Linked DNA regions of Macaca fascicularis. The protein of the gene in region 1 interacts with the protein of each later gene in a biochemical or structural test. Links are inferred from orthologs where the notes say so. Each region holds a gene or a part of one and is shown in the gene's direction. Other genes may lie near its edges.

Evidence for each region.
Region 2: the proteins of TRDN (region 1) and CASQ2 form a complex in vitro, tested with the Homo sapiens proteins (3 studies listed by BioGRID). The link is inferred for Macaca fascicularis from reciprocal best matches to the Homo sapiens genes TRDN and CASQ2.

The regions. Positions count from the first base shown.
Region 1 is NC_088378.1:27,577,445-27,581,460, reverse strand, and holds the start of TRDN (triadin), read left to right. Parts: upstream 1-1,213; 5' UTR 1,214-1,410; coding exon 1,411-1,432; intron 1,433-4,016. UniProt on the Homo sapiens protein: Contributes to the regulation of lumenal Ca2+ release via the sarcoplasmic reticulum calcium release channels RYR1 and RYR2, a key step in triggering skeletal and heart muscle contraction.
Region 2 is NC_088375.1:118,620,779-118,624,720, forward strand, and holds the start of CASQ2 (calsequestrin-2), read left to right. Parts: upstream 1-1,130; 5' UTR 1,131-1,305; coding exon 1,306-1,539; intron 1,540-3,942. UniProt on the Homo sapiens protein: Calsequestrin is a high-capacity, moderate affinity, calcium-binding protein and thus acts as an internal calcium store in muscle. Calcium ions are bound by clusters of acidic residues at the protein surface, especially at the interface between subunits.

The DNA.
Region 1 (4,016 bases):
AACCACTAACAGGGAGGAGGTCATTGCCTACAGAAATAGCTGTTGCAGTACTCTTCTGAGCCTGAATTTTAAAAATAACAAACATGGCTTTGCTTCATGATCTATGAAGTACCATATGAATTCAGGAGGTCTGAAAACAAAAGGTAGCAAGTTCAAGCTAAAAGATTAAACTACAAGCATGTAGTAGGTTGAATATGAGAATAAAATAAAAGTGTAGCCCACCCTTGATTATTTACGGATTGGCTAGAGTTTATGATTATCAGTGCCCTTCGATTATCCTTTTCCTTCCAGCTACCAACTATTGAATATTTTTTTGCTCATTAACACCTGTCTAGGAGTGGGAAGGTGAAATGCTAATCAGACAATTTGGTTAATTGTTAGTGGCTGCTATAATCCTTTTTTTTTTTAAGTTGAGATAAGGAAATATTTTACTAAAATATTGGCTGTGGACCACTAAATTTTATGTCACCTTCGCTTCCTTTTATTGCAAGGATAAATGCAGATATTTAGTTTTTAGTTAGGTATTAAAGAGAATTAAAAACATAGTAATTCATGAATCCATTGGTTTTCAAGTATCACACTATAAATTCACATTACGTAATTCTTATTGGTCAGTGTTCAGAAAATATTACTCTTCTACAGTATGACTACTTTAAAAGAAAGCTTTAGGATTTAATCGTTGCAATTTTAAGTGTAGCCCTATAAAAATAACTGCACTTGCTAAGTGGATTTGTATCAACAGGAACACAACTTTTAGAAAATTACTTAAGACTGCCCTCCCGTTTGCCTGTGGTAGACATTTGGGACCCTCCCCAAGCCAAATAAGGGAAAGAAGAATGTTCTGACCATTAAAAGCACTAAGAATAAATCTGAGCTCTCATGGATAAGATTACTTTCAACTCTTTACTTCATGTTTTCTGACATAGACCCCAAGATCTGTAATTGTCTTAGAGAAACTGTGCGGGCTTAGATGGTACTTTGTAGTTCATTTGGCTGCTTCTTCTTCTTTTTTTTTTTTTTTTTTGCCTGTCTCTCTTTGGGGCTGGAGAGCTGGTGTGTCTTTGTGTGTGTTCCTCTAGAGTGCCAAAAAAAAAAAAAAAAAAAAAAAAAAAAAAAAAAACATGCTGAAGAGTCCTAGGGAGATGAGGCTATTTTTGTTTGAAGCTGATACTTCTAACTGAGCCACAAGTGCTGCTTGGAAAGGGCTTAGGTTGATTCCAGGGGGAGAACTCTGCAGAGGAGAGGCAAAGTTCAACAGGACAACAAAGAAGCAGCAGAAACAGCCAGGAAAAAGAAGAGCCCCCAGGTTTTGACACAGAATCCTCTACCAGAGTTCTCAAATCCCCAAATAGTCTGCAAAGTGCTACTTGACGGGAACTTTTCAACTGACATTTACTTTTGACGACCACCATGACTGAGATCACTGCTGAAGGTATTGCTACCATTTTCCAATAGTATCAAGTAAGGAAAAAAAATATGCAAATTGACAGCCACATGGACTGTTGATGTGTCCATTTAAAACGTTGCTTTAAGGTAATTGTCGTGGTCAATGATTCTATACAGGATCTGAGAAGTGGATTTAGGAGCTGAGAGGCTGCCAGATCTGTATATTGGGGGAGCAAAAAGAGATTTCTCTTAAATTTTGCATGTGGAAACTATTCTCTGCTATACCAAAGGCCCCACTAGATAACAGTTGTTACTCACACCTCTATAAATAGCTATGGTCATGTAACATGATGGATGATATCTTATCCAGCAAAAATTACAAAGTTTTCAAGGATGGAGACCATGATGAACTTAAAATATTACACTAATGCTTACTTAAACTTAAAAAGTAATTTGAAGCATTTTTACTTTATGATATTTTTAAATGGAGACCTTAAGTTTGTTTTTCCTTTCCTACTAGGGTATGTAAAACACACACACATATATATGATTTATATACAATTTAAGACATAAGTGGTCTCACAAAATTTGTGTTTATTTGACCGTTAATGGAAATTCAGAGATAAAGATTGGAATTCCACAAACTTACTGTGCATCAATATGATTTTTAAAATAAAGTAATTAAGTTTAGAATTCTGGTTCTTTTCATAAATTCATTCTTCATTTTCCTCTAAATGGTAAATTCTATCTTTATGTTACAATAAATATTTTCTGCTTCAATGCTTTACTGAAAGCTACATACTATAATTATAATACATATCTTCTATTTGATGGTTGCTAGTTATATATATTTATATTCCATATATGCTTCATATATATATATATGTGTACATATTTCTTAGAATGAAGAAGCCCTTCAAAACTAAATTACTCTGAATACAGTCACAGTCTGGTTCTAGTTGAGGTAAAATTTTGGAGGTGGATCTAAAATTTGCTTCTGACAGCTGTAAGAAACTCAGACAGGTGGTGCTCTTAACAACTTCCAAGTTAAATGCTGTGCTGGTTTGCTTTGAATAATACAACTGAACTATAGAATATGTGTTTTTATTTTGAGGGTAGAAATTAGTATCGACACACAGTAATTTCTCTTGGAGATTTTCAGTCAATATTTGTAAGAATTGCCTTATTTGTACCTTACACTGAGAAATTCAGTCTGACACCCCAAATTAATAACAATTACTGAGAGAATTCTGCGTGTTAGGTATTTTGCTCAGAATGTTATGGGTGTTTACTTATTTAAAACTGACACAATTCAATTAAGGAGGCATTATTATCTCAGTTTGGCAGAAAAAGGAACTGTAGCTAACATGTTCTGTGACTCGCTCAAGACTATAGCATTACTAACATTTAAAGCCAGCCCCTTTAAATCTCATTTGTGTGTGTGTGTGTGTTTTCTTTTCTGTGAGAGGATATCAGGTTTACTCTTTACCAGTTTTAGTTCAGAATTTGCTAACTAAATATAAATAGCATTTTTCCTATTCCTTAAATATTCTGTGTCACGTTGCTTTTAGTTTGCCTTAAAGAAAGCTATCTATAAAAACTTATTGCTTAGCTCTGCACAAGGTATTAAGATAGCTATGAGTGTCTTAATCTTCTGTTTCTCTACCTCTGCTCAGTGTTTGGGCTCCCAGGTGATTCAGGAGGTCGGTTGACTAAACCATCTTGGGCTTGTTTGTGGCTTATGTTCTGTAGAACTTGCAGTTGATTCAAAAGACTTTTTACAGGAAAATTCGTGATTATGAAATAGAACTTTTGTTTCTGCCTCCACTCTGCAGGGGTTTAAAAGGGCCTTAGAAGACCTTCTGGAGTCACCCATAAAAGTAATTGAATTAGTAATAAAATTAAAAAGTAGAAATACCATCTAATTCCTGGGTGATGGTCATTTGCCACTTCCGGGTCTTAACAGTTCATAGGATCTATATTATCTAAACATCAATTATGTACTTTTTTTCATTTTCTGGAGTGATTTATTAATAATATTTCTCAAATGAAAATTAGACTGTCAACTCAAATGAAGTTATCTTTTAAGGTAGCACAGTCATTCTTTGAGGATATCCAAAGTTTTTTGCACACTGTTTTACTACACAGTTTCATGTTACCTTGGCAATTCTCACTTTCTGTGCCCTAGCTACAATTGCCTTCCTCCAGTCCTTTATAAAAGGTATACCTTTGTACAATGCCTTGGTACAGGCTATTTTCTGAGCCTGGAATAGTCTTATTTTATCTCATCTGCTATATTTCTTTCTCAACCACTTATTTATTTATTTATTTATTTATTTTAGAGCAGAGTTTCTCTGTCACCCATATTAGAATGCAGTGGCATGATCATAGCTCACTGCAGTCTCAAACTCCTGGGCTCCAGCAACCTTTCTACCTCAGCATCAGAAGTAGTTAGGACTACAGGTGTGCACCACCATGCCTGGCTAACTTTTTTTTTGCTTTATTTTTGTAAAGACAGGATCTTGTTATGTTGACCAGGCTGTACTTGAACTACTGGCCTCAAGCCAAGATTCTCTTGTCTCTGCCTCCCAAAACATTGGGAATACAGGCATGAACCACCACGCCTGGGG
Region 2 (3,942 bases), on another chromosome or scaffold:
AGAGTCAGAGGCAAGACAACCAGGAGCAGCAGCTTTGAGGCAGGGTGGAATTCTTGCTCTGGCAGTTAGAAACGCTGCAAACTCAGACAAGTTGCTGTTAGCTCAGTGGTGGGATGAGCCCTGATCACTTCTGCCCCAGTTGCCTACTGGATTCAAGGAGAAAATGGACAAGAAAGGGTTCACAAACCATTCATATTAGAAACAGACAAATATCCATTATATAACCAATGTTCCACCAGCTCCAGTGAGAAGGAAGTACAATAGCTACCATTTTTGAGCACCTATTTTGTGCCATGCTTGTTCATCTATGTGTTTTAAACTTTATGGTTATTATCATCCCCACTTTACATAGAGGGGAACTGATCATCAGAGGGGGCAAGTGACCCTCCAAAGTTCATTAGCTGTTAAAAGGCTGAGTAGGGATTTGAGCTGTGAACCTTGTTTCATTTTATTCTAATGAGGACAGATTCTTCTGGTGTCAGCTGGGTTCAGCAGGGTGTCCCTGCACCCCTCGCCCAGTGGCTGGCAGAGGATTTTTAAGAAGAGAGGATGGAAGGCAGAAAAAAACAGGAGTAGAACATGAGGAAGTCTACCTTGGGCCTCTGTTTTGTTTCATGTTGCAGTGAGGAACAGAGGGTGAGCAACCACAGGCTGAGTTACCTCCCTGGAGTGATTGAACAATTCAGTAATGCATGAGTGTCATTCTGTATGTTTGAACTCCCCATTTGCTTATTGGCACCATAGTCCCTTATCTCTCTCCCTCTCGAGTTTCTTTCTCTTCTTTGACCTTTCTAGCCTCCTTATTTCATGCGTGCACATTCTTGTCTTTTTCCTCCTGCCTCTTCCCTCTTCGCCATTCGGACAGACTGTATCAGCGAATCCCTCTACAGTGTCGTATCTAACTTTTTTATTCATTGCATGATTTATTTTTAGCCTGAAACAACTGCATCCTAAAAATGGAGTTCCTAATGAGACAGAGGCTGAGCAGAGCTATGTAAGGTATCTGGGGCTTGGCCTCCCAGCCTCCCTAGCTTGGCTGTTTTTCTACTCTCGCGCGTGCGTGTGTGTGTGTGTGTGTGTGTGTGAGTGAGTGTGTGCGCCTCTGCTCTTTGTCCTGAGCCCACGATTCCAGAGCTGGCTGGACCCAAGGAGGTGAAGAGTCACTTCTCCGCCCCAGGAAGGGCAAAGAAGAGAGACAAAGTCAGCCTGTCTGCTCCCTGCTTGGCTCAACAAGGCCTCTAATAGTCTTCTGTCCTTTCTTCTGCACACGGCATATTTGGGAACAAGAAACAAAAATTTTTCCAAATGAAGAGAACTCACTTGTTTATTGTGGGGGTTTATTTTCTGTCCTCTTGCAGGGCAGAAGAGGGGCTTAATTTCCCCACATATGATGGGAAGGACCGAGTGGTAAGTCTTTCCGAGAAGAACTTCAAGCAGGTTTTAAAGAAATATGACTTGCTCTGCCTCTACTACCACGAGCCGGTGTCTTCAGATAAGGTCGCGCAAAAACAGTTCCAACTGAAAGAAATCGTGCTTGAGGTAAGTAATCAAAGGGCGTGCTGTCCGCGCTGCCTCAGTGAGGTGCTGAGGGAATGCCTTTGGCCAGGGGTTGGGATATGGGAACGAGGATGCAGAGAATATATACTGAGGTCTGCTTTATTTTGGCCTCATGTGAATCAGATGCCCTTGTTGCACAGCTGGGGTGTGTGAACAATGAGGGGTGGGTCCTAACTCTTCAAATGAAGAGGACCAAACGTGCTACACTATGATGGGTCTGATGTAAAGTCTCTATGGCCCCCTTGACTTTTCAAGGGCCCTTGTCCCAGTCACTGTTTCCCAGATAGAATGCAGAAACTGTTGTTAAAACGGTTGGCTGAAATGAAATCCAGGGACTACTTGTGGATGTCACTCAGTGTGCCCACTCTGCTCCCTCAAATCTCCCTGTGATCCTGGAGAGACCAGAGTTACTTGACCTTGCCTCTCTCTGGGGGTCAGATGGAAAATATCACTAAATGACTCTCCTCTCTTGTGATTTGCTGTCAGTCAGCATTACAGAATGTAGTTGTGTGCAGATTTTCTGAGCGGCATATTCATTTATGTGATTTTTTTTTTTTTCCTCAGAAAGTTGTTGGTGTGACTTTAGGGCAGAGCTGAAGTCAGTTCTTATTTTATCCGCATTACATGGCCTGCCTGTTTGTAACCTGGCACTGGGGCCCATTTTCTAATCCTTTGCGAGTGCCCCAGAAACTATTCCTGCAGCTCCTCCTGGACAGCTTAAGATGGCTTATACTTTAAGAGTGCCTGAGGGTGCCAAGAATGCTAGTGGGCACCAAGATGCCTCATCAGTCCCCATGCCTAGCCCAGGCGCAAACCTGTGAAAAGGATATTTGAGAATTACAGTTTATTAACCAGTGCAATCAGAGAACTCAGGTTGATGAAACAGTTTGATTAACAGAATTATCGTATAAAACCCATGTGGATTTGAATTTTTTCCAATTGAAACATTGACTGTCATAAAATCCAGCAAAACTATCCCAAATACATCAAAAATATATTTCCAACCTTGAGTGCTGAATGTGGAAGTTCAGTTCTCTCTGTGGGTTGCAAGAAAAGAGAAAGCAGGGATAGTTATTAAGACTTTATTCTATAGAAATGAGCAAATCACAGGCTGGAAAAGAACAGGACATAGAACTTAGCTGCTGCTTAGCCCATGAAACCAACACTTACATTGTATCTCCATTTCAAACTGCCATACTCAGTTATCAAGAGACATTGTTATGAAAACTTAATAGAAGGCATAAGGATTCTCCCCTATATGCTCATTGCTGTCCAGTTAGCCTAGAACTCCAAAAGATTGCCTTTGGTTGGCCAGTACAGTCAAGGACATTCATTTCTGATTCTAATTTTTTAAAAAGAAATCTCTTTCTATCATCTATCTATCTATCTATCTATCTATCTATCTATCTATCTATCTATCTATCTATCTATCTCTAGCTCCCCCAAGTATATATGTCCCCAAAGACTATGCAAAATCATGAACAGGAACTTCCCCTGGGCTTACCATCCCTCCAGACACCTTTGATCCAAGAGTGCCCTTTCCACAGTTGGGTGCCAGCCCAGCAGAGACCGATAAGGAAAAGTTCACGACAGGAGTTAATTTGATGCCCCTAGGCTGCTAAAGCTGGAGTGAGGCATCATTAGGAGAAAAAGAACACAGAACTTGAAGTCAGGATATCCGGATTTAAGTTCTGGCTTTGTCTCTACTAGGCATAGGACGCAGGGCAAATTACGTAATTTCTCAGAGCCTCATTTTCTTATCTATAAATATAGAAAAATAATAACTATCATGCAGGCCTAAGAAATGATTAAATAATAATAATGTTAATTAAATGCTTACTAAGTACAGGGACTGTCCTAAGCACTTGGTATGTGTTAGCTTGCTTAATCCTTATTCTATTAAGTAGGTACAGTTACCAATTCCATTTTATAGATGGGGAAACTGAAGCAGAGAGGCTAAGTTGTCCAAGGTTACACAGCTACTGCAGATGAAGGCAGTACGTGATACCTATACTGCGCCTCTCCTGAAATCAGTGCGAAAATGCCCAAAGGGCTTCTGGGTAGACTGTTTAAGACGGTTTCAAGAGTCTTCCTTAAACAGAGTTGCTCAGCCTCTGGGCCCGGGTCTGATGATGCCAGCTGTACCACCAGCATGGCCGAGAAGTACATGGCCTGGAGGCACTGCTTATGCAAAAGTCCAAACCGAGGCGGAGGCCTGGGCTCCATTAGTGAAGGTGAGGAAGGGGCAGGCCTTTGTTGAGATACTTGTCAGGTGCAGCATCAAGGGAAAAAATGGCTCCAAGAAGTCCATGAGTGGAAAGAGTGAACACGTCTTTAAACTTTTGTCATCGTCAAAATAACTATTTTGTCCTCTTAATCCTCTAG